Nothobranchius furzeri: one gene and its partner. The protein of the gene in region 2 binds, or shares a complex with, the protein of the main gene of each other region. Links are inferred from orthologs where the notes say so. Each region holds a gene or a part of one and is shown on either strand. Other genes may lie near its edges.

Evidence for each region.
Region 1: lamtor1 (region 2) and lamtor2 share a complex: the UniProt entries of both Homo sapiens proteins name them as parts of the ragulator complex. The link is inferred for Nothobranchius furzeri from reciprocal best matches to the Homo sapiens genes LAMTOR1 and LAMTOR2.

Annotation. Positions count from the first base shown.
Region 1 is NC_091745.1:61,225,095-61,230,012, forward strand, and holds lamtor2 (ragulator complex protein LAMTOR2), read right to left. Parts: upstream 2,971-4,918; 5' UTR 2,754-2,970; coding exon 2,686-2,753; intron 2,224-2,685; coding exon 2,061-2,223; intron 1,976-2,060; coding exon 1,886-1,975; intron 1,324-1,885; coding exon 1,267-1,323; 3' UTR 825-1,266; downstream 1-824. UniProt on the Homo sapiens protein: As part of the Ragulator complex it is involved in amino acid sensing and activation of mTORC1, a signaling complex promoting cell growth in response to growth factors, energy levels, and amino acids.
Region 2 is NC_091753.1:34,139,182-34,144,540, reverse strand, and holds the start of lamtor1 (ragulator complex protein LAMTOR1), read right to left. Parts: upstream 3,281-5,359; 5' UTR 3,104-3,280; coding exon 3,062-3,103; intron 1,524-3,061; coding exon 1,378-1,523; intron 1,111-1,377; coding exon 1,033-1,110; intron 592-1,032; coding exon 468-591; intron 389-467; coding exon 296-388; 3' UTR 1-295. UniProt on the Homo sapiens protein: Key component of the Ragulator complex, a multiprotein complex involved in amino acid sensing and activation of mTORC1, a signaling complex promoting cell growth in response to growth factors, energy levels, and amino acids.

The DNA of each region.
Region 1 (4,918 bases), on a different chromosome or scaffold from region 2:
AGCAGCGGGTCTACACCGAGCCCCTCCCAGATTGCTCTTCTCTTCATTTTTGTTTTACATTGAAGCACCATCTTTCGCTCGCCTGCTGCCCAACCTTTTCTCTCCATTTCTTTTTATTTAGCTGACTTGGATTTTTCCTTCTGCAGAGAACAAAGAAAAGCCAAACAGAACGTGAAATATAACCTGCCTGAAACAGAACCGGGGGCATTAAAACAGTGTTTTTAAAGATTTTGTAATAATGTTATTTTATTCAGGGTACTTAAAATCAACTTGATTATTGCAAAACTGTATAGGCATTTAACTCCAGGTTTGGGTGATTAAAATTTTTATTTTGAAAGCTGAGACTTTCTTTATCTGGCTGCAGGTGAGAAAGTATATTTGATGCTAATGCCTCAAGAGAAAATCACTAACTGGTATCAATTAAAACTCATTAGTTGATTAAATGGAGTTAAACAGAATGCACATGCACTCGTGAGTTTTCTTAGCTTTTAAGTTACCCAGATCTTCTGACTTATTAAAAAAGGTTTTGTTTTTAAAGTATTGGATACTGAAAGAGTGAAAAGTTTCATCAGATTTTTGTGAAATCTGTGATTACTGAAAGAAATAAAATTATCTGGTGATGAAACTCAAAGACAAGCAAGGTAAGCTTCTCTAAACCCGCAAATTCTCCCTTTCACAAGATTTTCAGAGCAAATTTAAGTTTATCTCACCTGATACTGCATATTTAAAATTGTTTAAAAACGTTCAGAGGTGTATACGAGGGTGAAACACACCCAACCGTCACCAGCTCAAAGCAGGATTTAAAAGAATGGGTGACTCTGAGCCAGTATCTCTCATTTATCAAACAACCTTGACATAAAACACAAGTAAATAACAATCTCAACTGCATTTTTCAGAAAGATTCATATAAAATCTCCACACACGTTTTTATCATGATGTACATCTGTGACTCCTAAAAATGTTCAGTTTCACATTGAACAACAAAACTATGACCGAATGGACCGATTCCAAGTGAAAACTGAAAATGGAATCACATTTCAGCTGTACACACACACACACACACACACACACACACACACACACACACACACACACACACACACACACACACACACACACACACACACACACACACACCCCTCCATTTAGAGACATGGCCCTTTGTACACTTAGTGTTGGACAGGAGGGTTACAGCAGTCCACCGATGACCTGAACAGCTGATTTCTTCTTCAGTTCAGACCAACAGAAGCGTTGGTCGGATCTTCACTACGATGCGGCCACTTGAGTCAACGGTTCCTCCAGATACTGAACCAGAGCCTCTGCCTACAAACACAATAAAGCACAATTACTGGAAAAGATTAAATCTGGTACGACCTTTAAACTGATCAGAAACTTCAGCCTCAGTTCAGATTTAGCTGGGTTCTCCATGAGCTGCTCTAGCTGGACAAACCTGATGAACCTCATCCACGTGCCTCCCTGGGTCACTCTAAAGGACTTCCTGTTTTAAACAGTGGAACAGAAGTCTAGAACCACTCAGCACATTCCTCAGAAATACTAAAAGTGGTTTAATCTGTGTTTAAATGATTAGTTTCAAATGATTTGCACATTCAATGGTTTATTTAATGATCTGCCCTTACATTTTAGCCCTTTAAGTATAAAACGTTTTAGTTAAGACTTACGTTTAATATATGTGAACAGAATATGTCAATAGAAAGTGTTGAAAGGGTTAAAAGCAAAGTTAAAAGCAGTTTTCTTTGCCATCCAAACAACTGTTGTAAAATAATGCTTTAAACTCAATTGACAGAAGAGCTCCAACACATAAAATCTTTACCAATAAAAAGCAAAACGTGGGAAACAATTAGAAGAAAAGGCCCCGAACTCTCACCTTGGCTTTCAGCATCCCGAATCCCACAGTCTCTTTGGCATATATGCACAGCAGCAGGTTGGCTACACGAGTGATGGCCACTCTTCCCTCCTTAAAAAAAAACAAATACACAGAAGAAGGTTACAATTTGAGGTCAGCCTAATGTTTTAGCCTGAATCGGAGCTGTGTTTCTCACCATACAGTCCATGAGGATGAAGGTAAGCTTGTCTTCGTTGAAGGCTTGGTGGCCATTCTTGTCGTAAGCTGCCCAGATGTTGCTGGCGATGGCAGCTGTTACGCGTGCATCGGTATCTCCATAACCAGAGTAAGCCAGGAGGGAACCTTCATTATTCAGCAAGCTGAGAGGATAAACACGTGACACATACTAAGACAGCCTACTCATAAGTTATCTGTGTTGTTAGAAATAATCTTGATGTATGTTTAGATGGTGCAGCTAATGCCTCATCATACAATTAACATTTAGAAAGGTTGACTATTTTAGACACTAATGTGTAAATTAGAAATATTTTATAAATCATCTCATTGAAATTGATCATTATAAACCGAGGTATTTGTTAGGATCTGTTGCAACAGCGTTCTAATCTGTGACATTATAAAAACAGCTACGATAAAAATCATTAAATGCGCAAGTTTTACATTCAAATAACTAAAATTATGTCTTTTAAGCATTAAGAGTTCCCAAAAAACAACGCTTATTTTTCTTTGGGCGAGCTTTCCTTGTACAAAAAACGATAAGCAGCTAAGAGTCAGAGTAAATAGCATCTTAGCATCTCGTTAGCTTGTCGCTAACTCGTACTTACAGAGTGCTCTGGACTCCGTTTGTGTTCGCTTGGCTGAGGACCTGCGTCAGAGCTTTGGGTCGCAACATCGCTGTCGACCTCACCAAAGAATAAAAACGGTTTTAATAATAATAAGAAAAAAACACGAAGTATTTTGATAGTATGTTGATGTACGTGAAGAGCAATGCGTCCAGGCAGTCAGCTGACTTGTCTTTCCGCATTTCCGGCTTCCTTCGCATTGCACTTTGGGAAATGTTGTCTCGCGGTCGTAACTAAAAAGGATTTTCATTGGCCGTGCTCGAGTTGATGGCCTCGCCTGGAAAACAGACGAGAGCAGACGGAAGCAGCAGGGGGAGTGGCTGAAAGCCGGCGTTTAGGTCGGACACAATTTCCTGCATGTGTAGGATGGCTGAAGATATCGCGTTAGAGTTACTTGTTTAATTTTCAATTTTAATTCTGGTGCCTGTTAGCAGCTGAAACACATCCTCACGTGCTTGTGGATATCATGTATTGTATATGAAGACATGATTGTAATAATAAGCAGTGTTGGGAACGTTACTTTAAAAAAGTAATTAGTTATAGTTACTGATTACTTTGTCAAAAAAGTAACTCAGTTACTAACTGAGTTACAAGATCATAAAAGTAACTAATTACCAACAAAAGTAACTACTTAGTTACTTTTTTCATTAAAGAATGCAAGAATTACTACAATAGTAAAATATAAATGACTAATGACTGAACATAATAAAATGTATGTCCAAATGTTTTATATAAACCTGAATAATTTAAACAAATATGCACTTAACAGGAGGAACTACTAATAGGAACATTACACTAATCTAGACTATTAAAAGGTCACTGTGTGATATTTAACAAGACCCCAATCAGCTAAAATTTAAAATTGCAAATAGAAACACCTGTAAAGGTTCCCGAGCCTTTAAATGGTCTCTCAGTCTAGTTAAATTACAGAAATAAATGTAATTTTGCACAGTATTCTAATTTTTCCAGCTTCACATAATTGTGTGTTTTTAGCAGCATTTCTGTTGCTGCTAATCTAGTAACGGTTAAATAAATAAATAAATATCCTTTAAAATGACACTAGAAGAGGCACAGATCTGATGGAGGACTTACATTTACTAACTTGGGTCAGACCCAACCACAGAAGAGCTGAAGCTGGGTGGTGAACACACACAGTTCTGATAACACCTGAGCTCCATGACGTCTGAGACTGATGCATCAGTGTTACAGCGGGACTAAAGACATGATCAGAAACAGGTTACAGCTGGATGATCTAGGAAGGTAGAAGATCAGGACGTCTGAGCGGACCTTCGGGACGTCCCGCTGTCACGCTAAGAAGGGCACGGCTGCAGACCCGCACCTGCAGCCGTAGATATTCATCACGTGTTCCTCGTTCTTCACGGGCCGTGACGCACTTGGATGAAAACATCTACCTCTTTAGCTCCTGATCAGCTGATGATAACAGCTTCAACACACCGCGCTGCTTCACGCACGCATTTTCTTATCAGTAACAGAAACGATGTTTTGATAAAAGAAGACGGTAATTAATTAGTTTGCTCGTTACAGAAAGAAATATTTTTATTAACGTGGTTATTTTAAACGGAGTTATTCCCGTTGTGTCTACAGAATGCAGCGACTGAGACAGTGAGGGTCTCCGCCCACCCGGCCAGTCATCACCGTGTTTGTAAGTGCGTTACCGACACCTCTCTCTCCCAGGCTGCAGCTGAAGTGTGGCGGTCAGAAAGCCTCACGCTGCTGCTCAACGTTCGACAAGCACATGGTAACTCACTACCTTCCGTCCCCAGTAACGGTAACGGCGTTGCAACGGCAGGAAAAGTAATTAATTAGATTATTCCGTTACCTATAAAAGAACGCCGTTAAAAACGCCGTTATACTTAAACGGCGTTACTCCCAACACTGATAATAAGTAAAGGTTATCAGCTGTAGGTTTAGTGTGCTCATAGGAAACGTGACAAAAAGAACACAAATCACATTTCTCTTTAAGGCCTATATAGTTGTCATCATCAACATAACATGATTTACAGAATACATGTGACCTACTAACATTTCATGTTCTACCACCAGATGTTTGGATCAAAATATGAACCAATCAGATCTTAGATCGGGTGAGAGCCAGGCGTTTCTCGTCATCCACTAGGTTTTGCAGCCGAGGGAGAGCAACTGCAGCGCCTTGCTCCAAAATCTGCGCGCCGCCTTGATCTAACAAGGTTATCGT
Region 2 (5,359 bases):
AACTGAGCCATGATTCACACACAGTGGTGTTCTTGATGAAGAATACAACCATGTCCATCCTCGGTTTCTCAAATGATGACTGACAAGCACCAGTGTCCTTTAATAATTTCACTTAAGTACAGAGTGAAATTATGCACAGTCAGTCTTTAAGAGTCACATCTAACAAGGATCAATAGCTTTTAATAAAACGTGGGCTGAAGGATGATGACGCTGGAGTGACTGACAGAGTGAGTGAGTGACAGAAGGGAGAGAGAGAAGGATGGGAGCAACGATATGCAGGTTCAGAGTCTCAGAATCAGGGAATGGCAAACTGGACCACCAGTTCCTCTTTAGCATCCACTTTGATTTGAGAGATTGCACTGTAAGCATAAGCCGCTATCTTAGACACCTGCGAAGGAGAAAGAACAGTTACTGTTGGTGTGCTAAAGATTTCATCATGTTAAGAATGTGATCTGTGTGTGATTTACCTGCTGAACATCTGAATATGGCACCAGGTCACTTGCAAGAACTTGGTGGGGCTGGCTAGTTAGAGAGGGAAGAGTGTCTGCTTTCTTTGGGGGCAGGTTGGTGCTCAACACAGCCAACTTTGAACTATAAAAAAACCCAATCAAAAACAAACTTGCAATTAATTTGAGTTAAAATGACTCAAAAACAAATGTTTTCCATGAACTGAACGGCTGTTTATTCACAAGTACGTTTTTAGATGCAATATAATTAGATGCCCACTAGAGGTCACTAAAAAGGAGGAGGCAAGGCCGGCCTTATTGTAATTTTGAGGTCTGGTGTTGAAATTCCTTATTTCATGTCAGCAGTTTTCTTCTTCCCCAGCTGTATGGCCTCCAAAAAGACAGTTTTACGTTGTTCATTTCCTGAATGACTTTAATAAAACATTTTTAATTAAAGCCCAAATAAACTTCAGATTCAGTCTCATCAACAACTCTTTCAGGTCAACTAGTTCCAGAAGAATAAAAGTAGAACCTCCCATCAAAAATAAAGTATCAGTCTATAACAAACATCTACTCGTCTACATGCCTGTATTGTCTAGCTTTGTCCATGTATTCACGCTGCTCCATAACCACTGATTCCGTTGCAGAGACATCAATGATATTCCTGGAAGACAAGAAAAACAACGTTAGTTATATTATGATTATTCTCTATTCCAACACTCTTAACGGATGCTGTAGTACGATGCAGTCACACATCATCGGTTATAGTCCCAACATCCGTGTAGTGCTGCACTAGTAACCTGGAGGTGCATGACTAATACCTTCTAGTTCAATTACACAAATGTTATTTCACATGATCTAAAAGTCATTGATAAAGTTTCTTTGGATGGTAAATATGTTGTGTTTAGACTCATCAGTGGAAGCGTCTTACTGTGCGGCCTTCGTGAGGATGGATGTAAGGATAGCCTGCTCAGTTGCCTGTGCAGAGGGAACACTGGGAGTGATCCAGTCGGTCCCATTTGGAGGTTTGTTGACAGGGTTCGGATGGGGTATTAGTGACTCCGTTTCACTGTTCTTCTAGAGCAGAGTTGGAATAAAATAGAAATAATGTGATCAGGTAGTTTTAGCAAATTATACGTTTAATAAAACAAACAAGAGACTATGAGATTAAACGATTAGTTATTAGATATGTTTTCTGGGGAGAAGGAGTAAACGTTACACAAAATATATGTAGAAGAAGAATTAATCAAAGTTTGTTTAAAACAACTTTCATGCATTATACAAATGTCCGTCCAACTTCTTTACGATTACATGTTATAAACAATGACAGAAATGTATAAAGGTGGGGGACACTCATTTAATAAGTAGATTTACAGTGGTGTCTAATAGGAATGAATGCCTTGCAAGTTGTACTCTGGAGGAAAAAAAGCTCCAGTGCACCTGTTTCAGGAACTAGAATATTGTCACATTAGAGGAGAACTTCAAATGACAGGAGCTATACTCTTACGTCCTGATATTTGGAAACCTTGTCTCAGATAACACAAGCCTGATAGAGTTCTGCCATGTGGTAGAGTTGCTAATGCTAATAGTAATGGTTAGCTTCTACTAGCCGAGACACACTGTTGTTTCCTGGATGATAGACCAACAACAGCCTTCCCTGTGAGTCATGATGGGTGAGTCCATGAATGTTAAGTGACAGTGTGACGTAAATCTGTCAGGATTTTCTAATCCTAGCGTTTCATCGTCTGTCTTCTATCAGAAGCTAATGCTGGAGATAGGTGTAGGAGACTATGTTCATGTTCTGCCTGAATAAAAAACTCAAGAGTGGTCAGTTATAATCAGAAATGATCATTAAAAGGTTTTTCAGTGTTCCAGACCTTTAATTTTCCTTTGTTCAGAAACAGAGAGCTGATTATATACAATCTTAAATATATCAAAGTCATTCTGCCTTAAAATTTACATTTATCTGAAACTGTAAAGAAAAATGTATATTTTCAGACTAACATAGGTTAAATAGACTGGTTGTACCCAGGTTGTACCCTAACCCTAAGATGAAATGTATTAATCTACTTAAAGAGAAACTGATTATGAGGAAGGATGAAGACAAACTGGTTTATTTCCCTAAACTAAAATAAAACTGGGATATTTACAGCAGCCATATGACACCACGCACATCCACATGATGTTCAGTTATTTAGCTCCTTGACACACGGGTCACAATTGATTATTTAGCCAATAAGTAGAGAAGAAATCAGTCTATTCCTGATTAGCAGGACCTTTGGGAGGCTATAAATCCTCATGCCCCACTAAACAGGACAATAGCAGAAAATGATGTGCTCGCAGCTTTACTAAACACTTGATTTTTGCCCTCAGGACAGTTTATTCTGAACTGTTTCTGACCTGCGCTAACTCAAAGGGCTGCCTTTAGCCCAGGCCTTAGCAAGCTGACGCTTCCTGTTTAATGTTACGGACAACAAACGAGTTATGTGTGAACATGAAATGGCTCATTCACTAAACACTGTCAAGACACCTAGCCAGCAGAACTTATTTAGTGTTTGAATAAACGAATGAAGTTAACTGTTTTAGCTTTAGCCGCCAGCTAGCTAGCTACCTACCTCCCTGGAGTTGTCGTCCTCGCCACTGTAACAGCAACCCATGGCAACGTCCAAGGCTGAAACTAAACTACCCCGGCTTCCCTGCGCTCCTTCAGAAACGAGCAGAGCTCTTCTTCCCCTGCAAACATAAAGCTTTGTTTGTTTCTTACTGTTGTTACTACGGCCCCATACAAAAGTAGGAATCTACTGTCCACAGCAGCTTCTGAGTGAGGCTATCACATGACAGCAGCTGTGGTGCAACAACAACACAACAACTACTTCCGGTATTTGAGAAGCAGCGACGTCCCAGGACACGTGAGGGCAGAAATGTTGAACGTTCTTATCAGAAACCTCGGCAGAACTAAAAATGGTGACTGATAATTAAAAAAAGCATAAATGTTCCAGTCATAGGGGCTCCCAAAACAGGATTTGCTTTTTTCAATAACTTTATTGAACAAAGTTCATTTACAAAATAAGAGAACAAATGAAATACAAGCAGAATACAGCATTTTGCGTTTTTGCCACAGTTAAATGTTTCATGTTAGCAAAAAATAAATAAATACGGGGAGAAAATAACCCAAGTAAATAAAAGTCTGTTTTCAAATGATGGGAAAAAGTCTATATCCAAATCAGTCCAGGGGAAAAATTACTCCCTAAAATTATAGTTGTAAAACTTTGTGAGACATCAAGAGCATGCAAGCATTTCCAATAACTGCACATAAGTCTCTCACATTGGTGTGGAGAAGTTTAAGTCTACAATTCATTTTAAATGTTTTTGGCATGTTTAAATTAAAAGTTCAGACATTCTCCATGGGCCAGGTACCGTTTGTATGATGATCTTTTTCTGAAACTCACTGTTAGTTTCCCACAAGATGAGTCACAAATCTTACAAAACGTTTCACTTTTGTCTCAACGGTCCACAAAATGTTCATCCATCCTTTTGTTAAACCAGATTATCCATGCAGGCATCTATAGGCAGAGACTCAAACCCAGACCAAGGGCAAATGGGAATCTGATTTTTTTTTATAGGACATTGGTTTGTGTAAGTTGGACAGAGTTAGAAAATAAAGCAAGTCAGCACAGGTACTGTTCTACTGGGAACCTTTGCTCCTTCCTTTTATGTGGATGCAGTTTTAACATTTACAACCTTCATGGGAGTTGTTGCATCTCCTTTTTCTCTCATGCCAGCAGCTGTTTCAGATGGGAAATGTGCCACTAAAGTTCAAGAATAACTGTTTTTTAGCTTTAAAATGTTGTTTTAGAGAAGGGTATCCATGTTAAATAACTGATTATTGTGTAAGATAATGAGATTGCCTCTTTCCTTTTTGTCAATCTAAAAACATCAAGTGTTTGATCAAAACTTTTCCCAAGCTTGCTGTGCAGGATGAACAAGAGACAGAAACAGGATGAGGCATGTTGGTGAACAAGTGGCAGCTTCTCTGAGAAAGATGAAAGGGTCTCAGATGCCTTTGACTGAGTGCATAATAAAAACAGTGTAACAAACCAGTTCCAGTTTATTTCAGTCAATGTTTTCAGATGACAGCACAACTCATCAAAAATTTTGGTTTTCCTATTTTTCAAATAATGCATCAATTTAAATGCAAGCACATTTACAGCTTTGCATTTAACTTTGTGTTTCAACAGTTTAAATTTTAAATAACTTTAAGTTGTTTTTGTTGTCAGTGTTTGATTTACAATATTTTAAATTCTTTAAGGGCAAAAAACAGCACATTAATGAGTGATAGTTTCAAAAGCTGTCAAATTAATCTGCGTTTATTTAGAAACAACTATTTATACAATCGTTTTATACAGTAGTTTATACATTATGTTCAGGATACATGCATAAGAAACTATAAGCAAAGCAATAAACACACAAAAATCTGAGCTAACGACTTTAAAGAAGAAACTGAAAAATTGGCGCGTGGTGATTGGAATCGGCAGATCTTTAAACATATCTGGCTTGTGGAGGACTGGCCAAACTGAAACTTAAAAGTCTGCTTTGTTTGTTTTTCTTTTTTGTTTCAGGTTCATGAACGCATCACTGCAAGCATTAAAAAGATATGACATTTTCCCTTCTGAACTCCCCTACTCTACAGATTAAGATTCATAAACTAAAGTTTTCCTAAACTGTTGTTATTTGTGAGAAACATGAGCCCAAAGTTGGTTCTGGCAGGTCAGAGCCGAGCAAGAGTCTAAAATCATAATCGAGTCATCTCAGATTGAGCTCCTCTGGTGATGTCAGAAGCAGCCTGATGGGTGGGATGGACTGGGAGGCGCCCTCTCCATAACCCTACCCTAAACAGGGAAGATCTGCTCTGA